Linked DNA regions of Macaca mulatta. The protein of the gene in region 1 interacts with the protein of each later gene in a pairwise test. Links are inferred from orthologs where the notes say so. Each region holds a gene or a part of one and is shown in the gene's direction. Other genes may lie near its edges.

Evidence for each region. The genes of interacting proteins can lie anywhere in the genome.
Region 2: the proteins of YWHAE (region 1) and GAPDH interact in a two-hybrid assay, tested with the Homo sapiens proteins (2 studies listed by BioGRID and IntAct, with this or other methods). The link is inferred for Macaca mulatta from reciprocal best matches to the Homo sapiens genes YWHAE and GAPDH.
Region 3: the proteins of YWHAE (region 1) and KIF1C interact in binary tests that used the Homo sapiens proteins (3 or more experiments, as listed by UniProt). The link is inferred for Macaca mulatta from reciprocal best matches to the Homo sapiens genes YWHAE and KIF1C.

The regions. Positions count from the first base shown.
Region 1 is NC_133421.1:2,901,436-2,908,050, reverse strand, and holds part of YWHAE (14-3-3 protein epsilon), read left to right. Parts: intron 1-11; coding exon 12-211; intron 212-4,360; coding exon 4,361-4,467; intron 4,468-5,187; coding exon 5,188-5,394; intron 5,395-6,615. UniProt on the Homo sapiens protein: Adapter protein implicated in the regulation of a large spectrum of both general and specialized signaling pathways. Binds to a large number of partners, usually by recognition of a phosphoserine or phosphothreonine motif.
Region 2 is NC_133416.1:7,482,840-7,490,170, forward strand, and holds GAPDH (glyceraldehyde-3-phosphate dehydrogenase), read left to right. Parts: upstream 1-2,961; 5' UTR 2,962-3,004; exon of another isoform or gene 3,005-3,096; intron 3,097-3,273; 5' UTR 3,274-3,290; coding exon 3,291-3,319; intron 3,320-4,994; coding exon 4,995-5,094; exon of another isoform or gene 5,095-5,117; intron 5,118-5,175; coding exon 5,176-5,282; intron 5,283-5,404; coding exon 5,405-5,495; intron 5,496-5,585; coding exon 5,586-5,701; intron 5,702-5,788; coding exon 5,789-5,870; intron 5,871-6,074; coding exon 6,075-6,487; intron 6,488-6,594; coding exon 6,595-6,664; 3' UTR 6,665-6,702; downstream 6,703-7,331. UniProt on the Homo sapiens protein: Has both glyceraldehyde-3-phosphate dehydrogenase and nitrosylase activities, thereby playing a role in glycolysis and nuclear functions, respectively.
Region 3 is NC_133421.1:6,548,006-6,555,413, forward strand, and holds the start of KIF1C (kinesin-like protein KIF1C), read left to right. Parts: upstream 1-3,038; 5' UTR 3,039-3,263; intron 3,264-4,956; 5' UTR 4,957-5,077; intron 5,078-5,328; 5' UTR 5,329-5,355; coding exon 5,356-5,461; intron 5,462-5,881; coding exon 5,882-5,958; intron 5,959-6,329; coding exon 6,330-6,509; intron 6,510-7,167; coding exon 7,168-7,233; intron 7,234-7,408. UniProt on the Homo sapiens protein: Motor required for the retrograde transport of Golgi vesicles to the endoplasmic reticulum. Has a microtubule plus end-directed motility.

The DNA.
Region 1 (6,615 bases):
TTCCCATGCAGAAATGGTGGAGTCAATGAAGAAAGTAGCAGGGATGGATGTGGAGCTGACAGTTGAAGAAAGAAACCTCCTATCTGTTGCATATAAGAATGTGATTGGAGCTAGAAGAGCCTCCTGGAGAATAATCAGCAGCATTGAACAGAAAGAAGAAAACAAGGGAGGAGAAGACAAGCTAAAAATGATTCGGGAATATCGGCAAATGGTGAGATTGCTGTGCCGTCGTCCCCCTTTATGCACAGTTTGAGTTACCTGTAGGACGGTACACTAAGAGGTTTTGAGAGAGAAGGAGACTGCATTCATATAACTTACATTACAGTATGTTATAATGTTTCCGTTATTAATCTTTGTGCCTAGTTTATAAGTTAAACTTTCCCATGGCTATGTATGTATAGGACAAAACATAGTCTATATCAGATTTGGTATTATTCATGGTTTCAGCACATCCACTGGCTGGTCTCAGAATGGATGCCTCTTGGGTAAGGGGGAACTGTTGTTATTTTCAAGCAAAATGATGACTGTTTTTTAAAAAAATACGGTGGGTTGGCTGGGCATGGTGGCTCATTCCTGTAATCCCAGCACTCTGGGAGGCCGAGGCGGGCGGATCACGAGGTCAGGAGATCCAGACCATCCTGGCTAACATGGTGAAACCCCGTCTCTACTAAAAATAGAAAAAATTAGCCGGGCGTGGTGTCGGGCGCCTGTAGTCCCAGCTACTGTGGAGGCTGAGGCAGGAGAATGGCGTGAACCCGAGAGGGGGAGCTTGCAGTGAGCCGAGATCGTGCCACTGCACTCCTGCCTGGGTGACAGAGTAAGGCTCTGTCTCAAAAAAAAACACACACACACACACACAACAAATATACTGGGTTAATTTGTCTCATTCCTCTTCCCCCCGGCCCCCCAGACTCACCTTGTCACCCAGGCTGGAGTGCAGTGGCACGATCTCCACTCACTGCAAGCTCCGCCTCCCGGGTTCACGCCATTCTCCTGCCTCAGCCTCCACAGTAGCTGGGACTACTGCGCCAGCCACCACACCCGGTTAATTTTTTGTATTTTTAGCAGACACGGGGTTTCACCGTGTTAGCCAGGATGGTCTCGATTTCCTGACCTTGTGATCCGCCCGCCTCGGCCTTCCAAAGTGCTGGGATTATAGGTGTGAGCCACCGTGGCTGGCCTTTTTTCTTTTTCTTTTTTTTTTGAGGCGAAGTCTCGCTCCGTCGCCCAGGCTGGAGTGCAGTGGCCAGATCTCGGCTCACTGCAAGCTCCGCCTCCCAGGTTCACGCCATTCTCTTGCCTCAACCTCCTGAGTAGCTGGGACTACAGACGCCCGCCACCTCGCCCGGCTAGTTTTTTGTGTCTTTTAGTAGAGACAGGGTTTCACCGTGTTAGCCAGGATGATCTCGATCTCCTGACCTTGTGATCCACCCGTCTCGGCCTCCCAAAGTGCTGGGATTACAGGCTTGAGCCATCGTGCCCGGCCCTTTTTTTTTTTCTTTTTTTAAAGAGGAAGTTTCGCCCTTGTTGCCCAGACTGGAGTGCAGTGGTGTGATCTCAGCTCATTATAACGTCTGCCTCCCGTGTTCAAGTGATTCTCCTGCCTCAGCCTCCTAAGTAGCTGGGATTACCGGTGCCTGCCACCACAACTGGTAAATTTTTGTATTTTTAGTAGAGATGGGGTTTCACCATGTTCGCCAGACTGGTCTGGAACTTCTGACCTCAGGTGATCTGCCAGTCTAGGCCTCCCAAAGTGCTGGGATTAGAGGTGTGAGGCACCACACCTGGCCTAGTTTTTTCAACAGAATAGAACATATCAGAGTGGAACACTGTAAGCATAAGGATTATTTAATGAAGTTATTTTACATACTGTGTGTGTAGATGCATATATAAAATGTTTCTTATTGTAGGTCTTGTTAAAAAAGTTGTATAGCCATCACTCTAATGCAGCAGTTTTCAATTAGAGGTGCTTTTGTCCTTCAGAGGACATTTGACAATGTCTAGAGATACTTTTGTCACTTAGGGGGTGCTGCTAGCATCTAGTGGGGTGGAGACAGGATGCTGCTAACCATTCTACTGTGCGCAGCACGGCCCCACAGCAAACTCCAGTAGTGCTGCTGGTGAGAAACTGATTTAGTGGAAGAGACAGGCACGTAACGCATGAACGAGAACAAGGAAGAGAATTACAGGGCAGGTGGAAAGTGAGCTTGGTTGGGAGAGGGAAAGGTGGGGGAACCACAGTTACTGACTCGCCAGCTGTACTGGGCACTGTCCTGAGTAGAGAAATATTTCTGTTATATGTATTTGTGTAAGGTAGTACGTGAAATCTTTAAAATAGCACTGGAAGGGGGAGGCATTATCCCAACCTATGAATGCACAAGCCAGGATTTTGAGTGTTTAACATACCTGAGGTCACTTAGAAAGTTGTGAGCTGGGGCCGGGCGTGGTGTCTCGTGGCTGTAACCCCAGCACTCGGGGAAGACAGAGGCAGGAGGATCGCTTAAGCCCAGTAGTGGGCAAAAAAGTGAGACCCTGTCTCTAAAATTGTAAGCTGGGGTTGATGTGTTAACCATTACCCTGAAATATGTTGGGTCAAAGAATTTGGTTGGTCAGTAGACAAGTTGAGTGTCCCAGTGGAAGGAGGAGGTGAGGAAGTTGAAAGTGCTAAAGAAACAAGCCCAGGAGCTCCACTGTGGGATTTCTGTGGGATTTTGGCTGCCTGGGAAAGGGAAGTGGGAATCAAAGACAGCAACTGATAAAGTGGGAGAAGACGTAAAAAGCTCAAGAGTCTGATGTCTTAGATGAGATACATGCATTAAAAAAGAAAAAGTGGCGAGGCGTGGTGGCTCATGCCTGTAACCCCAGCACTTTGGGAGGCCAAGGTGGGTGGGTCACACCTGAGGTCAGGAGTTCGAGAGCAGCCTGACCAACATGGTGAAACCCCGTCTCTACTAAAAATACAAAAATTAGCCAGGCATGGTGGCACGTGCCTGTAATCCCAGCTGTTCAGGAGGCTGAGACAGGAGAATTGCTTGAACCCAGGAGGCGGAGGTTGCAGTGAGCCAAGATCGAGCCACTACACCCCATCCAGCCTTGGCAATGAGTGCGAAACTCTGAATCAAAGAAGGAAAAAGTAAAAGAGTCCAGGTGTCTTGATGAGTCCATAAATAGAAATTACAAGAGAAGAGGAACTGAAAAAGGAAGCCATGGGCCCAGAGTGGAGTGTTACAATTCAGACTGCTAGTATAGGGCAGCGCGGTCATGGGTGTGGACAAGTGGAAGTCTTGGAGTAGAGAGCCAAGAGCTTGTCGAATGGAACACGGCCACACCATACCTTGGTGTGATCTCAGGTATCGGATGGGTTTGCTGTAGACATTGAGTGAATCTGGGAGAAGGGTGTAGAGATCTACTGAAGACAGAAGCTGAGAAATAGAATGTAGAATATCAGCTTGTGAGGAGGAAGGATTTGGAGTAATAGGAGAGCAGTCATTGACTGTGCAAGGAGCTAGGAGAACTTAGAAATCTTCCTTTTCCTAGACCAGTCTCTGTTGGAAAAGCCGTCAGGGCGGTGGTTTATTCAGAAAATGATTTTGCTTGGGATAAGGATGTGATTATAGAAGAAAAAGTGAGAGAATGTTTTACAGTGAAACGGAGGTTCCGGGGGCATGGAGAGGAACGAAAGGTTCAGCAATAGTGCATGAGTTAATAGCAAATAGGAAGCAAGCTGGGGATGTGCGTCCAGAGGTGGTGTACGCGTTCAGCATTATCAGTGGATAGAGATGGTGGCAATAGCTACTTTGGTAGATAGGTTTTTGGTGTCTTAACTAGTTACAGATCTCTGCCATTTAAGGAATTGCCTGGTGACTGTTAGGAATGTGAGTGCTGAAGGCAAACTGCCTGGGTTTAAATTTTGATTTTGTCCCTTGCAACTGGCCTGAGTTCAAATCCTAGCTCTGCTTATTAAATTCTTTTAAGTTGATCTTAGAACAATGTGTTTACATTGCTACCTTGTGGAAGAAGTTAATTCATGTAATTGACCAGCATTTATCAAGAAGCATCAGTGTTTTAGTCATTGGTAATTCTGTAACTGGACTGAGAAGGGAGTGTGGGGGCTGGCGTATGTGCGCCTGCATGTGTGTATGTAACAATAGCATGCAGAAAGGAAAAGATGCTTTTTATAACCTAGAGGCAGCTTTTCTCTGCTTTTGTGTCAAGAAGGAAGAAGGGAGTTGGGAGGTGGTTATTAATTCTTTTTAATACTAAGCTCTCCTCCTAAAAACCAGAGATAGAATGTGTAATAATTTGTAGAATTTCTAGACTTAATCAGATTTTTTAAAAAAATTTATTTTTATTTTTTCAGGTTGAGACTGAGCTAAAGTTAATCTGTTGTGACATTCTGGATGTACTGGACAAACACCTCATTCCAGCAGCTAACACTGGCGAGTCCAAGGTTTTCTATTATAAAATGTAGGTTCTATACTAGAAGGGAAAATGTAAGATTGAAAGTTGGTCCTTTTAGAATTACAACTTTTTTCTATGTGGGTTTTCAACTTTTATTTAAGAATAATTGTTCAATGTTAGAAGGATAGTTAATATTGGAATAAAAAGATGGACTATTATAAAAATGTAAAATTTTTAATAGTTACTCGTAGAAAACATAATTTTATATTTTCTGTTTTAGCATAAACAAGTTTCAGTCTTACTAATGTGTGTTAAACTGTTCTCCCATTTATACTTCAGATTGTTCCCAGCTTTTGCTTATTTTATATTCTTTGTTTTTGTGAGACCTATCCCATTCCCTTCCCCCAAGCGGCATACATTTCACAGTGCTTAGTGTTTTATATAGAAATTTTATTTTATTTTTAATAAACAGTCATGCCATTCCTTGGAACCACTTGCTTAATTCTGGTTTATTAGGTGATAATTTTGTTAATTTTTAGAGGCTCCTCAGTTAATTTCCTTGGGATTTTTGCTTATATTTAGTAATATGAAATGTCTAAGGAAAAACACAAAAGGAAGCCAATTATTCCTGAGGGTATTTAAAATTATTGAAGTATACCTGCTAATTGTTACATATATTTTTGTCGCATATTTTATATAATATAGAACAATTTTAGCTTATTTTCCTTTAAAAATCGTCATTCCTGGTTTAAAATTTTTTTTTTTTTAATTTTGGTTTTGTTTTAGGAAAGGGGACTACCACAGGTATCTGGCAGAATTTGCCACAGGAAATGACAGGAAGGAGGCTGCGGAGAACAGCCTAGTGGCTTATAAAGCTGCTAGTGATATTGCAATGACAGAACTTCCACCAACGCATCCTATTCGCTTAGGTCTTGCTCTCAATTTTTCCGTATTCTACTACGAAATTCTTAATTCCCCTGACCGTGCCTGCAGGTAAGTTGTGGGGAAGAAAAAAGCTCTCAGCTTGAAAGTTAAGGGGTAGCCGGGCGTGGTGGCTCAAGCCTGTAATCCCAGCACTTTGGGAGGCCGAGACGGGCGGATCACGAGGTCAGGAGATCGAGACCATCCTGGCTAACACGGTGAAACCCTGTCTCTACTAAAAAATACAAAAAACTAGCCGGGCGAGGTGGCGGGCGCCTGTAGTCCCAGCTACTCGGGAGGCTGAGGCAGGAGAATGGCGTAAACCCGGGAGGCGGAGCTTGCAGTGAGCCGAGATCGCGCCACTGCACTCCAGCCTGGGTGACAGAGCGAGACTCCGTCTCAAAAAAAAAAAAAAAAAAAAAAAAGAAAGAAAGTTAAGGGGTAGCTATTTGGATTTTCCGTATTGTTTCTTGGGCCTGCCTTTGTAGACTTGGCTGCGTATTGATTCTTTTGACTCTTACTGAAACTACTTTGGATAGTATTAAAACAGACCTATCTCAACCCACTAGCGTAGCAGTCAGGGTAAGTATTTTTATGTGGGATATTTTGGTAGATTGAAATCTAACGTGTTAAAATGAGTAGAGGAAGGGCCAGGCGCGGTGGCTCAAGCCTGTAATCCCAGCACTTTGGGAGGCCGAGATGGGCGGATCACGAGGTCAGGAGATCGAGACCATCCTGGCTAACACAGTGAAACCCCCTCTCTACTAAAAATACAAAAACTTAGCCGGGCGAGGTGGCAGGTGCCTGTAGTCCCAGCTACTGGGGAGGCTGAGGCAGGAGAATGGCGTAAACCCAGGAGGTGGAGCTTGCAGTGAGCTGAGATCCGGCCACTGCACCCCAGTCTGGGTGACAGAGCGAGACTCTGTCTCAAAAAAAAAAACAAAAATGAGTAGAGGAAGGAAATGAGAGGAATTATAAGATAGAATTATTTTAATTTTATATATTAGTTTTCAGTCTTTTTTTAAAATTTGAGACGATGTCTCACTTTGTCTTCCAGGCTAGAGTGCAGTGACGCCATCTCAGATCACTGCAACCTCCACCTCCTGGGTTCAAGTGATTCTTCTGCCTCAGCCTCCTGAGTTACTGGAGTTACAGGGGCCTGCCAACATGCCCATCTAACTTTTTTTGTGTTTTTAGTAGAGACAGGGTTTCACCGTGTTGGCTAGGCTGGTCTGGAACTCCTGACCTCAAGTGATCCGCCTGCCTTGGCCTCCCAAAGTGTTGAAAGTACAA
Region 2 (7,331 bases), on another chromosome or scaffold:
GCCCGGGCGCAGTGACTCACGCCTGTAATCCCAGCACTTTGGGACACCGAGGCGGGTGAATCACCTGAGGTCTGGAGTTCGAGCCTGACCAACATGGAGAAACCCTGTCTCTACTAAAAATTAAAAATTAGCCAGGCGTGATGGCGCACACCTGTAATCCCAGCAACTCGGGAGGGTGAGGCAGGAGAATCGCTTGAACCTGGGAGGCAGAGGTTGCAGTGAGCCGAGATCACCCTACTGCACTCCAGCCTGGGCAACAAGAGTGAAACTCCGTCTCAAAAAAAAAGTACATACACGATCTTTAAAATGCAAGGCCTTTCTCTTAAATTAGCCTAATTGAACTGCATTGAGCTGCTTTCACTTTGGAATATGTTTGCCAATCTCCTTGTTTTCTAATGAATAAATGTTTTTATATACTTTTAGACATTTTTTCCTAAGCTTGTCTTTGTTTCATCTTTCACATTAGCCCAGATTCATGCAGCAGAGAGAGGGTTATCAGTGCAGAGAGAGATGAGCGAGCCCAGAGAACTAGGGCCTGTCCCAGGATGGCAGATGAGCTTCCTGCCCTGTCACTGCCACCTTTCCCCTCTCAACCTCCGGACCCTGCACAGTGACCAGCCAGCCTCGGGAGAATTATGCAGTGCCTCGACTCCAGATCAGCGCTTCTGAACGGGGGCAATTTTGCCTGCCAGAGGACATTTGACAACACCTGGGGCCTTTTCTGTTGTCATAGCCTGTGGGGGAAGAATGCTACCAGCATTGGTGGGCAGAGGCCAGGGATGTTGCTAAACAGCCTACAGTGCACAGGGCAGCCCCTCAACAAAGAATTACACAGCCCAAAATGTCAATAGTGTCGCAGTTGAGAAAACCTGCTCTAGACCAAGGGTTGCTTTCCTTTGTGTGCCTCACCCCACCCCCACTCGTGTTCCCTAATCCCATCTCCAAAGGCTGGCAGCGGACTGGGCCAGGCTGGTGGCAGGTCAGGTCATGATCCCCTCCAGCTCTGCAGGAGACAAGGTCTGTCTCCCGCATTCCTCACTGGTCCCAGGTCTGCAGGGGGCGCAGGCTATGCTGCAAGCGGGCTGCCCCTGAAGCCTGCCCACCCCTCTCCAGCTCCTCAAGTCGTCTCTGCTGAGTCACCTTAGAACCGGAGGCTGTGAGCTGGCTGTCGTGACCACACTGGTGCCTCTGCTGTCATGACAACAGCACACTACGTCACTAGTGCTCCCTGGGCACCGAGCTCCCTCTTAGCGGGGAGAAGACAGTAATGAAAAATGACAAGCATGAGGCAGAGGGGAAGATGGCGCCCCCAAATCACGCTTGGTGGTGCAGGAGCATGGAGGTGCTCTTAACGCTCTGGATGGGAAAGGGTTAATGGTCCTGGTTGCAGGAATAGCTGAGTCAGAGGTGGGGCTTCCTCCACTCCCCCACCCCACCCTTCCACCATTAAGGACCCTCTTGCCTTGCTCTTGCTACTCTGCTCTGGGTGGTCATTGTGAAAAGCCCGCACCAACCATGCCAATGGCAGCCAGACGAGGACACAGCCTGGTTCTGGGTCCCAGGAGGAAAGGCAATCCCAGAAAGACAGGGACAAGGACTGGAGTCCTGTGGGTGCCTTTTAAGCAAAGATTATCACCAGGCGGGCTAAACTTAGCAAACGGCTTTTAGCTAGAAGGGCAGGGGGCTGGTGTCAGGTTATGCTGGGCCAGCAAAGAGGCCCAGGATCCCCCTCCCATGCACCTGCTGATGGGCCAAGGCCACCCCACCCCACCCCCTTCCTTACAAGTGTTCAGCACGCTCCCATCCCACACTCACAAACCTGGCCCTCTGCCCTCCTACCAGAGAAATGGATACCCTGTGGGAAGGGGCAGGGGGCCTGTTCCCACCATGTGCCCAAGACCTCTTTTCCCACTTTTTCCCTCTTCTTGACTCACCCTGCCCTCAATATCCCCCAGCGAAGCCAGTGAAGGGGAGTCCCTGGCTCCTGGCTCGCCTGCACGTCCCAGGGCGGGGAGGCACTTCCGCCCTCACGTCCCGCTCTTCGCCCCGGGCTGGATGGAGTGAAAAGCACACTGTCTCTCACCCTAGGCAGCACAGCCCACGGGGCTCCAGGAGTGACTTTGTGGGAGGCCTCTGGGCCCCCACCAGCCATCCTGTCCTCCGCCTGGGGCCCCAGCCCGGGGAGAGCCGCTGGTGCACACAGGGCCTGGATTGTCTGCCCTAATCATCAGGTCCAAGCTACAGGGCTGCAGGACATCGTGACCTTCCGTGTAGAAACCTCCCCCTCAAGCCGCCTCCCGAGCCTCCTTCCTCTCCAGGCCCCCACTGCCCAGTGCCCAGGCCAGGCCTCGGTCCCAGAGAGGCCAGGAGCCAGGAGATGGGGAGGGGGAAGTGGGGGCTGGGAAGGGCCCACGGGCCCCTCCTAGCCCTTTGCTTCAGCTATTCCGGTGTCACTACCGCAGAGCCTCGAGGAGAAGTTCCCCAACTTTCCCGCCTCTCAGCCTTTGAAAGAAAGGGGAGGGGGCAGGCCGCGTGCAGCCGCGAGCCGTGCAGGGCTCGGGCTCCAATTCCCCATCTCAGTCGCTCCCAAAGTCCTGTTTCATCCGTGCGTGTAAGGGCCCCCGTCCTTGACTCCCTAGTCTCCTGCTGCCCACACTCCAGTCCTGGGAAGCAGCACCGATCACCTCCCATCGGGCCAGTCTCAGTCCCTTCCCCCCTCCGTCGGGGCCCACACGCTTGATGCGTGCCCAGTTGAACTAGGCGGCTGCGGAAAAAAAAAAAGAGCAGGGAGAAAGCAGGGCCCCGCTACTCGCGGTTTTACGGGCGCACGTAGCTCAGGCCTCAAGTCCTTGGACTGGGACTGGCTGAGCCCGGCGGGAGGCGGGGTCAGAGTCACCGCCTGCCGCCGCGCCCCCGGGTTTCTATAAATTGAGCCCGCAGCCTCCCCCTGCGCTCTCTGCTCCTCCTGTTCGAGAGTCAGCCGCATTTTCTCTTGCATCGCCAGGTGAAGACGGGCGGAGAGGAGCCCGGAGGCTAGGGACGGGCCTGAAGGCGGCAGGAGCGGGCGTGGGCCGGACGTGTTCGCGCCGCTGCGGGGTGGGCGCGGGCCAGGGTCCGGGTCCGGGCCCGGGCTGCCTCCGCATTGCAGGGGCGGGCGGAGGACGTGATGCGGCGCGGGCTGGGCATGGAGGCTGGTGGGGGGAGGGGAGGGGAGGGGAGGCGTGGGTGTCGACCGGGACCACTAGGCGCTCACTGTTCTCTCTCTCCGCGCAGCGCATCCCTGAGACACCATGGGGAAGGTGAAGGTCGGAGTCAACGGGTGAGTTCGTGGGTGGCTGGGGGGCCCTGGGCCGCCCGCAAACTGCGTCTACGAGCCTTGCGGGCTCCGGGTCTTTGCTGTCGTATGGGGTAGGGTAGCTGCGTCCGGCAAGGAGAGCTCAAGGTCAGCGCTCGGACCTGGCGGAGCCCCGCACCCAGGCTGTGGCGCCCTGTGCAGCTCCGCCCTTGCGGCGCCATCTGCCCGGGGCCTGCCTTCCCTAGTCCCCAGGAACAGGAGGTCCCTACTCCCGCCCGAGATTCCATCCGACCCGGACCCCTAGCTGGGGACGCTTTCTTTCCTTTCGCGCTCTGCGAGGTCACGTGTCGCAGAGGAGCCCCTCCCCCATGGCCTCCGGCACCGCAGGCCCCGGGATGCTAGTGCGCAGCGGGTGCATCCCAGTCCGGAGGCTGCGCCTGCGGTAGAGCGGCCGCCATGTTGCAACCGGGAAGGAAATGAATGGGCCGCCGTTAGGAAACCCTGCCGGTGACTAACCCTGCGCTCCTGCCTCGGTGGGTGGAGTCGCGTGTGGCGGGGAAGTCAGGTGGAGCGAGGCTTCCCGGCCCCTGCTCTCAAGTCGGCCCCTGAGCTGCAAGCCCTATTTCCCCTCCGGGTGATGCTTTTTCTAGATAATTCTCTGGTAAATCAAAGAAGTGGGTTTATGGAGGTCCTCCTGTGTCCCCTCCCTCCAGAGGTGTGGTGGCTGTGGCTTGGTGCCAAGCCGGGGGGAGCTGAGTCATCGGTAGTTGGAAAAGGACATTTCCACCGCAAAATGGCCCCTCTGGCGGTGGCCCCTTTCTGCAGCGGCGGCTCACCTTATGGCCCCCCTCTTCCCCTGCCAGCCTAGCGTTGACCCCACCCCAAAGGCCAGGCTGTAAATGTCACCCGGAGGATTGGGTGTCTGGGAGCCTCGGGAAACCTGCCCTTCTCCCCATTCCGTCTTCCAGAAACCAGATCTCCCACCGCACCCTGGTCTGAGGATAAATATAGCTGCTGACCTTTCTGTAACTGGGGGCCTGGGCTTGGGCCGTCTCCCATCCCTTCTCCCACACACATGCACACACCTGTGCTCCCACTCCTGAATTCTGGAAAAGAGCTAGGAAAGGACTAGAAGCTTGCAAATTAAAGCCCTGGGACTAGGGGGTTAAAAAACAACTTCCCCTCTTCCCCCGGCCCAATCTCTGTCCCTTTTGTAGGCGGGTCTTAGAGAAGGGGTGGGCTTGCCCTGTCCAATTAATTTCTGACCTTTATTCCTGCCCTTTGAGTTTGGTGATGCTGAGTGTACAAATCTTTTCTCCTTAAACGGTGCAGTTTGAGGCTGAGCTAGGCAGCAGCAAGCATTCCTGGGGTGGCATAGTGAGGTGCTGAATGCCACGTGCAAAGCTTGTGCCCAGACTGTGGGTGGCAGTGCCCCACATGGCCGCTTCTCCTGGAAGGGCTTCCTATGACGGGGGGTGTTAGGCAGCAGTGGAGCCTTCAGTTGCAGCCATGCCGTAAAGCCAGGCCAGCCTGGCAGGGGAGCTCAAGGGAGATACAATTCACCTCTTAATGGAGGTAAGGAGATGTTGGGGGTAAGGAGATGCTGCATTCGCCCTCTTAATGGAGAGGTGTCCTAGGGCAGCTCACATACTGTGGAGAAGCCTCCCCTCCTCATGCCTTCTTGCCTCTTGTCTCTTAGATTTGGTCGTATTGGGCGCCTGGTCACCAGGGCTGCTTTTAACTCTGGTAAAGTGGATATTGTTGCCATCAATGACCCCTTCATTGACCTCAACTACATGGTGAGTGCTGCCCCAAAGCTGATGTGGGAGGAGCCACCTGGCTGCCAGGCAGCCCCTTCACACCCTTGCGTATTCCCCCAGGTTTACATGTTCCAGTATGATTCCACCCATGGCAAGTTCCATGGCACCGTGAAGGCTGAGAACGGGAAGCTCGTCATCAATGGAAGCCCCATCACCATCTTCCAGGAGTGAGTGGAAGGCAGTGGGAGAAATGTGCTGTGGGGGGCAGCTAGGGTGGTGCGGCTCCCTTGGGTACATGGTAACCTCGTGTCCCTCAATATGTCCTATCCCTGTCTCCCCCACCCCATAGGCGAGATCCCTCCAAAATCAAGTGGGGCGATGCTGGCGCTGAGTACGTCGTGGAGTCCACTGGCGTCTTCACCACCACGGAGAAGGCTGGGGTGAGTGCAGGAGGGCCCGCGGTAGGGGAAGCTGGCTCAGCCCTGCAGAGGCAGAACCCGGGTTTATAACTGTCTACTTCTCTGCTGTAGGCTCATTTGCAGGGGGGAGCCAAAAGGGTCATCATCTCTGCCCCCTCTGCTGACGCCCCCATGTTCGTCATGGGTGTGAACCATGAGAAGTATGACAACAGCCTCAAGATCGTCAGGTGAGGAAGGCAGGGCCAGTGGAGAAGCGGCCAGCCTGGCACCCTGTGGACACGCTCCCCTGACTTGCGCCCCCTCTTTGTTTGCAGCAACGCCTCCTGCACCACCAACTGCTTAGCACCCTTGGCCAAGGTCATCCATGACAACTTTGGTATCGTGGAAGGACTCATGGTATGAGAGCTGGGGAATGGGACTGAGGCTGCTGCCTTTCTCATGCAGGGCTGGCTCCTCCTCCCGGCCAGGCCTGCATGCAACCCTGGGGGCTGGGCCTTCTGGGGACTGGCTCTCCCATAATTTCCTTTCAAGGTGGGGAGGGAGGTAGAGGGGTGGTGATGTGGGGAGCACTCTGCAGGGCCTCACTCCCTCCTTTTCCAGACCACAGTCCACGCCATCACTGCCACCCAGAAGACTGTGGATGGCCCCTCCGGGAAACTGTGGCGTGATGGCCGCGGAGCTCTCCAGAACATCATCCCTGCCTCTACTGGCGCTGCCAAGGCTGTGGGCAAGGTCATCCCTGAGCTGAACGGGAAGCTCACTGGCATGGCCTTCCGTGTCCCCACTGCCAACGTGTCAGTGGTGGACCTGACCTGCCGTCTGGAAAAACCTGCCAAGTACGATGACATCAAGAAGGTAGTGAAGCAGGCGTCGGAGGGCCCCCTCAAGGGCATCCTGGGCTACACTGAGCACCAGGTGGTCTCCTCCGACTTCAACAGCGACACCCACTCTTCCACCTTCGACGCTGGGGCTGGCATTGCCCTCAACGACCACTTTGTCAAGCTCATTTCCTGGTATGTGGCTGGGGCCAGAGACAGGCTCTTAAAAAGTGGTGCAGAGTCTGGCGCCCTCTGGTGACTGGCTCAGAAAAAGGGCCCTAACGACTCTTTTCATCTTCTAGGTATGACAACGAATTTGGCTACAGCAACAGGGTGGTGGACCTCATGGCCCACATGGCCTCCAAGGAGTAAGACCCCCGGACCACCAGCCCCAGCGAGAGCACAAGAGGGAGAGAGAGGCCCTCACTGCTGGGGAGTCCCTGCCACACTCAGTCCCCCGCCACACTGAATCTCCCCTCAGTTTCCATGTAGACCCCTTGAAGAGGGGAGGGGCCTAGGGAGCCCCACCTTGTCGTGTACCATCAATAAAATCCCCTGTGCTCAGCCAGTTCTTTGTCCTGTCTTATCCTAGGGTGTAGGGCGGAGGGAAGGGAAGCTGGGCTGTGTCAAGGTGAGACATTCTTGCTGGGAGGGACCTGGTATGTTCCCCTCAGATTGAGGGTAGGGCCTCCCAACCGCCTTGCTTGCCATTTGCTTCCTGCTCAGACTGAGTGCTACGGAAAGCTAGCACCACTACTTCAGAGAACAAGGCTTGCTTCAGTCCTAGGCTATCTGCTGCTGGCCAAACATGGAAGAAGCTGTTCTATGGGCAGCCCCAGGGAGGGTGACTGGTGGAGGAAGTCGGGGTTCACACTGGGCTGGTGACTGGTTAGTAGACCGCAGCCTGGAGATGAGCTGCAGCGGGTAATTCCAGCTTGGCCTCCACAGCTGTGAGGTCTTGAGCAAGGACTCTTGCTTTCTGTGCCCGCCTGTCTTAGCTGAGGACGTCATTGTGGCCAGCCCCTAAGGTCTTCAGGAG
Region 3 (7,408 bases), about 3.6 Mb from region 1:
AAAAATAATGACAGTGGAGATTGGATGGGGCGGAGGCATTTGGGGGTAAGAGAAGTGACAGAATTGAGGGTTCTCAATGAATCAACTATGAGTGGTTAGTGAAAGTTAAGTGTGTGAGGCCGGGCGCCGTGGCTCACGCCTGTAATCCCAGCACTTTGGGAGGCCGAGGCGGGTGGATCACGAGGTCAGGAGATCGAGACCATCCTGGCTAACACGGTGAAACCCCGTCTCTACTACAAAATACAAAACATTTGCCGGGCGCGGTGGCGGGCGCCTGTAGTCCCAGCTACTCTGGAGGCTGAGGCAGGAGAATGGCATGAACCCGGGAGGTGGAGCTTGCAGTGAGCCGAGATCACGCCACTGCACTCCAGAATGGGCGACAGAGCGAGACTCCGTCTCAAAAAAAAAAAAAAAAAAAAAAAAAAAAAAAAAAAAAAGTTGGCCGGGTGTGGTGGCTCATGCCTGTAATCCCAGCACTCTGGGAGGCCGAGGCGGGTGGATCACCTGAGGTTGGGAGTTCGAGACCAGTCTGACCAACATGGAGAAACCCTCTCTCTACTAAAAAATACAAAAATTAGCTGGGTGGTGGTGGGTGTCTGTAATTCCAGCTACTCAGGAGGCTGAGGCAGGAGAATCGCTTGAATCGGGGAGGCAGAGGTTGTGGTGAGTAGAGATCATGCCATTACACTCCAGCCTGGGCAACAAGAGTGAAACTCTGTCTCAAAAGTAAATAAATTTTTAGGCCGGGCGCGGTGGCTCAAGCCTGTAATCCCAGCACTTTGGGAGGCCGAGACGGGCGGATCACGAGCTCAGGAGATCGAGACCATCCTGGCTAACACGGTGAAACCCCGTCTCTACTAAAAAACACAAAAAACTAGCCGGGCGAGGTGGCGGGCACCTGTAGTCCCAGCTACTCGGGAGGCTGAGGCAGGAGAATGGCGTGAACCCAGGAGGCGGAGCTTGCACTGAGCTGAGATCCGGCCACTGCACTCCAGCCCGGGCGGCAGAGCAAGACTCCGTCTCAAAAAAAAAAAAAAAAAAAAAAAGTAAATAAATTTTTAAAAGTTAGGTGTGGACATAATGGTCAACTGGTGACAGGGAAGGAGGGGGCAGTTGGGAATGCCTGTGGATAGGAAGGTAAGCAGGGAGGTCAGTTGCATATAGCTAAAATGAGGGACAGCCAAAGATGACCTGAAGGCCAGTTGGGGTGGGGAGAAAGGGCAGTTAAGGCTGGGGACGGTGGCTCACGCCTGTAATCCCAGCGATTTGGGAGGTGGAAGTGGGTGGATCACTTGAGCCCAGGAGTTTGAGAACAGCCTGGGTAACATGGCAAAACCCCCTCTCTACAAAAATACAAAAAAATTTAGGCAAGTGTGGTGGTGTGCGCTTGTATCTGGGAGGCTGAGGTGGGAGTATCATCTGAGCCCCGGGAGGTCAAGGCTGCAGTGAGGTGAGATCGCACCACTGCACTCCAGCCTGGGCGTCAGAGTGAAACCCTGTCTCTAAGAAGAAGAAGGAAAAAAAAAAAAAGCCAGGCGCGGTGGCTCAAGACTGTAATCCCAGTACTTTGGGAGGCCAAGGTGGGCGGATCACTTGAGGTCAGGAGTTTGAGACCAGCCTGACCAACACAGTGAAACCCTGTCTCTACTAAAATTATAAAAATTAGCCGGGTGTGGTGGTGTGCACCTGTAATCCCAGCTATTCAGAAGGCTGAGTCAGGATAATTGCTTGAACCCAGGAGGCGGAGGTTGCCATGAGCCGAGGTCGCGCCACTGAACTCCAGCCTGGGCAACAAAGCAAGAATCCGTCTCAAAAAAACAAAACAAAACAAAACAAAAACTAGATAAGTTAGGAGACAGTGCCTGTAGGCTCCTGAAGGACAGAAGCAGCAAGCTAGAACGTAGGGGTGAACTAGCATTTATCCAAGGGAAGTAGGGATGGGCTGAGAAAGCAGGTGAGGTCAAAGGCGGAGGGAGGTCAAAGGTTGGAGTTGAGCTGAAAGGGCCTAAAGTGGGGTCTAAAGGGGATGTCCTGACTCGGAGGGGGGTCAGCAGAACGCGGGGGGCGGGGGGGTCAGCGGGAGCTGCGGGGCATTCCGGCCTCAGATAAGTGGCGCCCAAGCGGGTGACCTAGATCCAAGGGCAGGATGGAGCTGAAGGAAGCCAGGAAGGATCCTCCACAGTTGACTTCGGGGTAGCCACAGCCCGGGCCTGCAAGGGTGGATGAGGACCCGAGAGTCAGGCTGGGGCTGAGGGGCTGCCTGGAGCCTGGAGCCCCGCTGGAGGGAAGCGCCGGGCCGGAGAGCGCGGCGGGCGCCTGAAAGGGCGACCGGGACCCTCGACAGGTGGACCGGGCGTGGCCGGACCTTCCGGGCAGCCCAGCCCCGAGAGGGGCCCTGGGGTGGTGGTCCCAGGCTGAGCGGCAGGCTGGGGCCTGAGGGGAGCCCCGCGTCTGAGGGGGCAGCCCCGGCCTTAGGCGGCACCCGGGCCTGAAGGGGTTGTTTGGGCCTGAGGCGGCGTCCGGGGCGGCCGAACTTGAGGGCCAGGCGGGGATAGAGCACCCGAGTAGCCGCGCCACGGCCGGCCGCACTTGGCCCCAGCACCTGAAGCAGCTGCGCGGCGAATTCTAGAACTCGGCGGGGCGGGGAGGAGAGAGACGGCGATTCGAGCCGCGGGAGGAGCCGGCGGGCGGTGCTCGCCTGGGGGCGGGGCCTGAGCGGAGCCGCCTTCTGGGCGGGCCTCGGTAGGAGGCTCCGCCCCCTGGACGCGCCTCCAACGGCGGCGACATGAGCTGGGCCGGGGCCTGGGTGCCCCCGCGGGTCAGCCCCCGACGTTTCCCTGCTCCTCAGGCGTCTGCAACCCTCCTGGGTTGCGGCGTCTGCTCGCCCTTCTGCGTCCGCAGCTCGGTCCCCGCGTCCCTGCACGCTGGGCCCCACAGGCCGGGAGCGTTGCCCCTTTAACAAGAGTAACCCGGGTCGCTCCCGGCTCCTTCCCAGGACGGCGCGCGCCCGCCTCTCCGCGCGCGCCCGCGCGTCCCCCGCCCCTCGCTCCCGCCCCAGCTCGCGCTGCCCGGGCGGGCGCCGGCCGCTGGCGCCGCTACTGCTGCCGCCCCCGGGGCGCGAGTCCGCCGCCCGCCGCCCGGGGACCCGGCGAGGGGCGGGGGCAGCTCCGAACCGGCCCCCGATCCTTCCCGCCGCCGCCTCACGCTTCCCGGAAAGCTTGTCCTTCTCCGCCGAGCCACTCCGGGAGCCCCGCCGCGCCGAGGTGAGGGCTGGGCAAGGGGGAGGGAAGGGACGCCCGCGGAGGAATGTGCCGGGTTGGGGGGCGGGGAGCCGGGGTCCGGCGGCGCGATCTAGGCTCGAGAGCCGGGATCATGTGCTGTTTGTTCCGCGGAGGCGCAGAGAGGTGCCAGGCCCGGGCGGCCGCCGGCTTAGGGCTAGACAGGAGGACCGGTCCGCATGGCCGCCCAGAGAGGCCGGGCGGGGACATGTGTGAGAACTGCCGGGTGGGCAAGGTGCAGGTGGCCCAAGACTCCCTTTCGGGTCGGGCGGCCCCACCCAGCCGCCCAGTATCCTCCTTGTACCCCACGGCTCCTTAACAGCTGCACCGGCTGACCCCTGTCCCTACCTCTGTTCCCTTACCCTGCTGGCCCCCAGCCATGCCACCCCATTCCCTGTCCCATTAGCTGCAGCAACGGCGTCACCATGGCTTGTCCCCACCAGTGTCCTTCCCTCCCCTGGTCAGGGTCTAGGGGGTCAGGGCTGTTCTTCCTGAGCCAGCTTCTGTGATTCCAGCTACTCCCTTCCTGTCCTGGGACAGACCAGCCCCTCACCCTCCCATGCTCTGCCCAGGAAGGCTGGTGAGGGGGAGGCCCAGTGTGACAGGAGTTTGGGGCCCACTGGGGTCACAGGAGGGGGCTTAGCATCCCTTATTCCTCTTCGTGGTTCTCCTCCCTGTTGTCCGTGGGCGTGGGCTGCTCAGCCTCTCCTCACAGGGTGTGGGCACCCGATCACCCACATTCCTGGGCTCCAGCCTGGCACCTTCCCCAGGGCAGTGGACGCCATAGCACTAGCCCCAGGCTGGGGCTGGCACTGGCCAGCCGGCTTCCTTTTGCTTTTCTTTCTCCCTTTCAGGGAGGCCCCAGGGACCCTCTACCCTCAAACACAGGTATTTCTGGGCACCCCAAGGGTGGAGCCCTGAGGGTTGGTCTGATGGCTACAGGATGACCCCACCCTCCCCTGCCCATTGTCCTGGATCCTGAGGAGGAAGTGCTGGGGGCTGGGCAAGGGGCTTAAAGCCCACACAGCCGGCCCTGTGGATCCCAGTCCTGGGCCCTATCTACAGTCCTTGGACTTTGCCCATCCGCACTGCCGGCCTGGTGTGTGGAGGTTGTGGGCCTTAGGTGGAAACTGGATTCTCCCTTGCCGACCCTGTGGGGAATTTCAGGACAGGTTTTGCATTTGCAGTTTCTTCTGATCTCTCTTCTGGGCTCCCAGTTTGTGCTTTGGCCCCGGAGTTCCTGCCTCTTTAACAGCTTGTGTTTGCTGTGCTGTGTCTCTTTCTCCTTTCCTCTCCCATTCTTTCCTTCATAGCATGACCTCAGGCTTGCCTTTTGTCTTATTTCTCTCATTTTCTTGGTGTCTGTGACTCTCTACCCCTCGTCTCTCTCTTCCCGCCACCCTCACGTCTCTGCCCATGTGCCCCTCTCTGAATTGCCCTCTGTCCAGCCTCTTTCTCTCTCTCTCCTCTATCTGAACGTTCAGTACACTTGCGAGTGATGAGGAATAAAAATATCACCGTCCTTGCCCTTGGATTCACATTGCATTCTGCCACTCCAGAGGGGCAGCTGTCCATAACGTTTTGTACTATTCCCCCCTAACCGTGGCCCTCCAACCTGGGAACCCCAGACAGGTCTCGAGCCACAGGTGCCTCCTAACAACTCTTCCCCCACAACCAGGGTGTCTCCCAGAGCCCCAGCTGGTGTGGCCAGGTCCCAGTAGTAGGATGGGGCTCCCCCTACGAGGGCCAGTGGCAGCGAGAACTGATACAGCCCCCCTGGTCTGGAGCCAGGACGCCAGGTAACTCTGGGGGAGACCGCCCAGGTTCCTGCAAGGTGGAATATGGCTGGGGAGAGAGGCAGAAATACCTTTGGGAGTCTCTCAAGACAGTGACATTTGGGAGGAAAGCCAGGGGAATAAGAGCTGGGTGCTTGAGAGGCTGGGTGGCTCTGGGGGAGATGTGAAGAGACTGGTTCTGGGAAGAAGCTGGGAGGCAATGTCTGGGTCCCCCCAGTGGCTCTGACCCCACCACTCCTTTCTCTGTCCTCCAGCTGAGGAGGGCAGGAGTGTCTGAAGCCATGGCTGGTGCCTCGGTGAAAGTAGCAGTGAGGGTTCGGCCCTTTAACGCCCGTGAGACCAGCCAGGATGCCAAGTGTGTGGTCAGCATGCAGGGCAACACCACCTGTGAGTGAGTCCCCGGGGCCTGGCTGGGCACAGACAGGGAAGGCCGGGCCCACCACACAGGCCAGTCCCGCTGGGCCAAACTAAGAGGAGGTCTGTGCCGGGCACAGGGCAGGTGCTAGTCGTGAGGGCGGGGGCTGGGGCAGGCTGGCCTTTCCCGTGTTCCCAGTCTTCTGGGAGGGGGAATGTTGGCCTGGAGCCCTCCATTGCCCAATCCAGGGAGGCAGCTCAGTGGGGGCGGGTCCTAGGAAGCCAAAATTAGCTTTGGTGGCTGGAGGGGGTGGGGAATATTAAAGGGGAGAGATGAGTCAGGGCAGTGGTGAGGAGTGGGATGCTTGGATTCCAGGGGCTGGTGGGGGTATGGGCAGGGGCTGGGAGTACCTGACCTTGACTTTCCTTCCTTTACCCCCTCCTGCTCCTCAGCCATCATCAATCCTAAACAGAGCAAAGATGCCCCCAAAAGCTTCACCTTTGACTACTCCTACTGGTCACACACTTCGGTGGGTTGTTGGGCTGGGGGAAGAGCAGGGCAGTGAGAGACAGTGGATTTAGGTCCTGGGGAGGGGACATGTTGAGAAATAGGACCCCCAGGGGATTATTCAGGCTGATTGGGAGGATGATCCTGGATGGGGGTGGTAGGACCCTTAGGCTGTGATTGAGGCCATGACAAGAAGGCAGAATCCCTTGGGGTAATTAGGACTAGCAGGGGCTGGATAGGATCCTCGGGGTGATTAGGACAATGATGAGGGTGGGAGGGCACATAGGACCTTTGGAGAATCATCAGTTCTGGAAGCAAGACTGTTGGGACAGACACAAAAGATAAAGACATCCAGGGTTCCTTCTGTTTTTCTCTGCCCCCGCTTTGTCCTAGGCGGAGGACCCCCAGTTTGCATCTCAGCAGCAAGTGTATCGGGACATTGGAGAAGAGATGCTGCTCCACGCCTTTGAAGGCTACAACGTGTGCATCTTTGCCTATGGGCAGACCGGGGCTGGGAAATCCTATACCATGATGGGGCGGCAGGAGCCAGGGCAGCAGGGCATCGTGCCCCAGGTACACCTAGGACCTGGTGGGGCAGCCAGGGCAGGAACATCTTTAGCTGCCCCCTGAGGAAGGAAGGACCGGGGTCTGAGGATTGTGGAACAGAGAGACCTGGCTCTGAGGCCACTGGTGATGGGAGATAGAGGTTGACTCAAGCTGGACAACCCTTTGGGGTGGGAGGGTCTTTGTCCCTATTGGAGGCAACGAGCCTCATTGAGAAGAGCAAGGTTTTGGCATCAGTGAGTCTTGGGTTCGAGCGCCAGTGTTACCACTTATTACTGTTTTACTTAGTTTCATAATAATTTATGAGGATGGTTCTCCTGCAGGCTTGTGTACCATCGCAGAGTGTTAACTGTAGAAACGCCAATTGCGATAACAGAGTTAACCATAATTGTCCCTGGCTGTCCAGCATAGCAACCTGGCACACAGGCTTGGGAGTCAGGACGCCTGGGGTTTGCGCCCTGGCTGGCTGAACGCTAGCCTGTGTTCTTGGGCAAGTGGGAACCTCTCTGAGGTTGTTTTCCCATCTGTGAAATGGGAATAACCCCTCCCTCAGGGCTGCGGCAAGGGTTAAATGGGGTCACTTGGGACTGGGCCTGGCCTGTGGCTGGATACTTTAGGTGTGCCCTAAACTAGGAGCTTCTCTGTATTTCCCTGTGTCCCCCTCCAGCTCTGTGAGGACCTCTTCTCTCGCGTTAGTGAGAACCAGAGTGCTCAGCTATCCTACTCTGTGGAGGTAAGCCCGGGTCCTGGTGGCGGGGCTGAGAGCGGTTCAGACTGCTGAGGGCCATTGCTGAAATCAGACAGCCTGGGATCTAATCCTGGCTCTGCTGGTTACAAACTGTGACTTTGGGGCAGTGATTCTGTCCTTCAGCTTCGTATGTTCATCTGGGAGATGCTAATGATCAGAT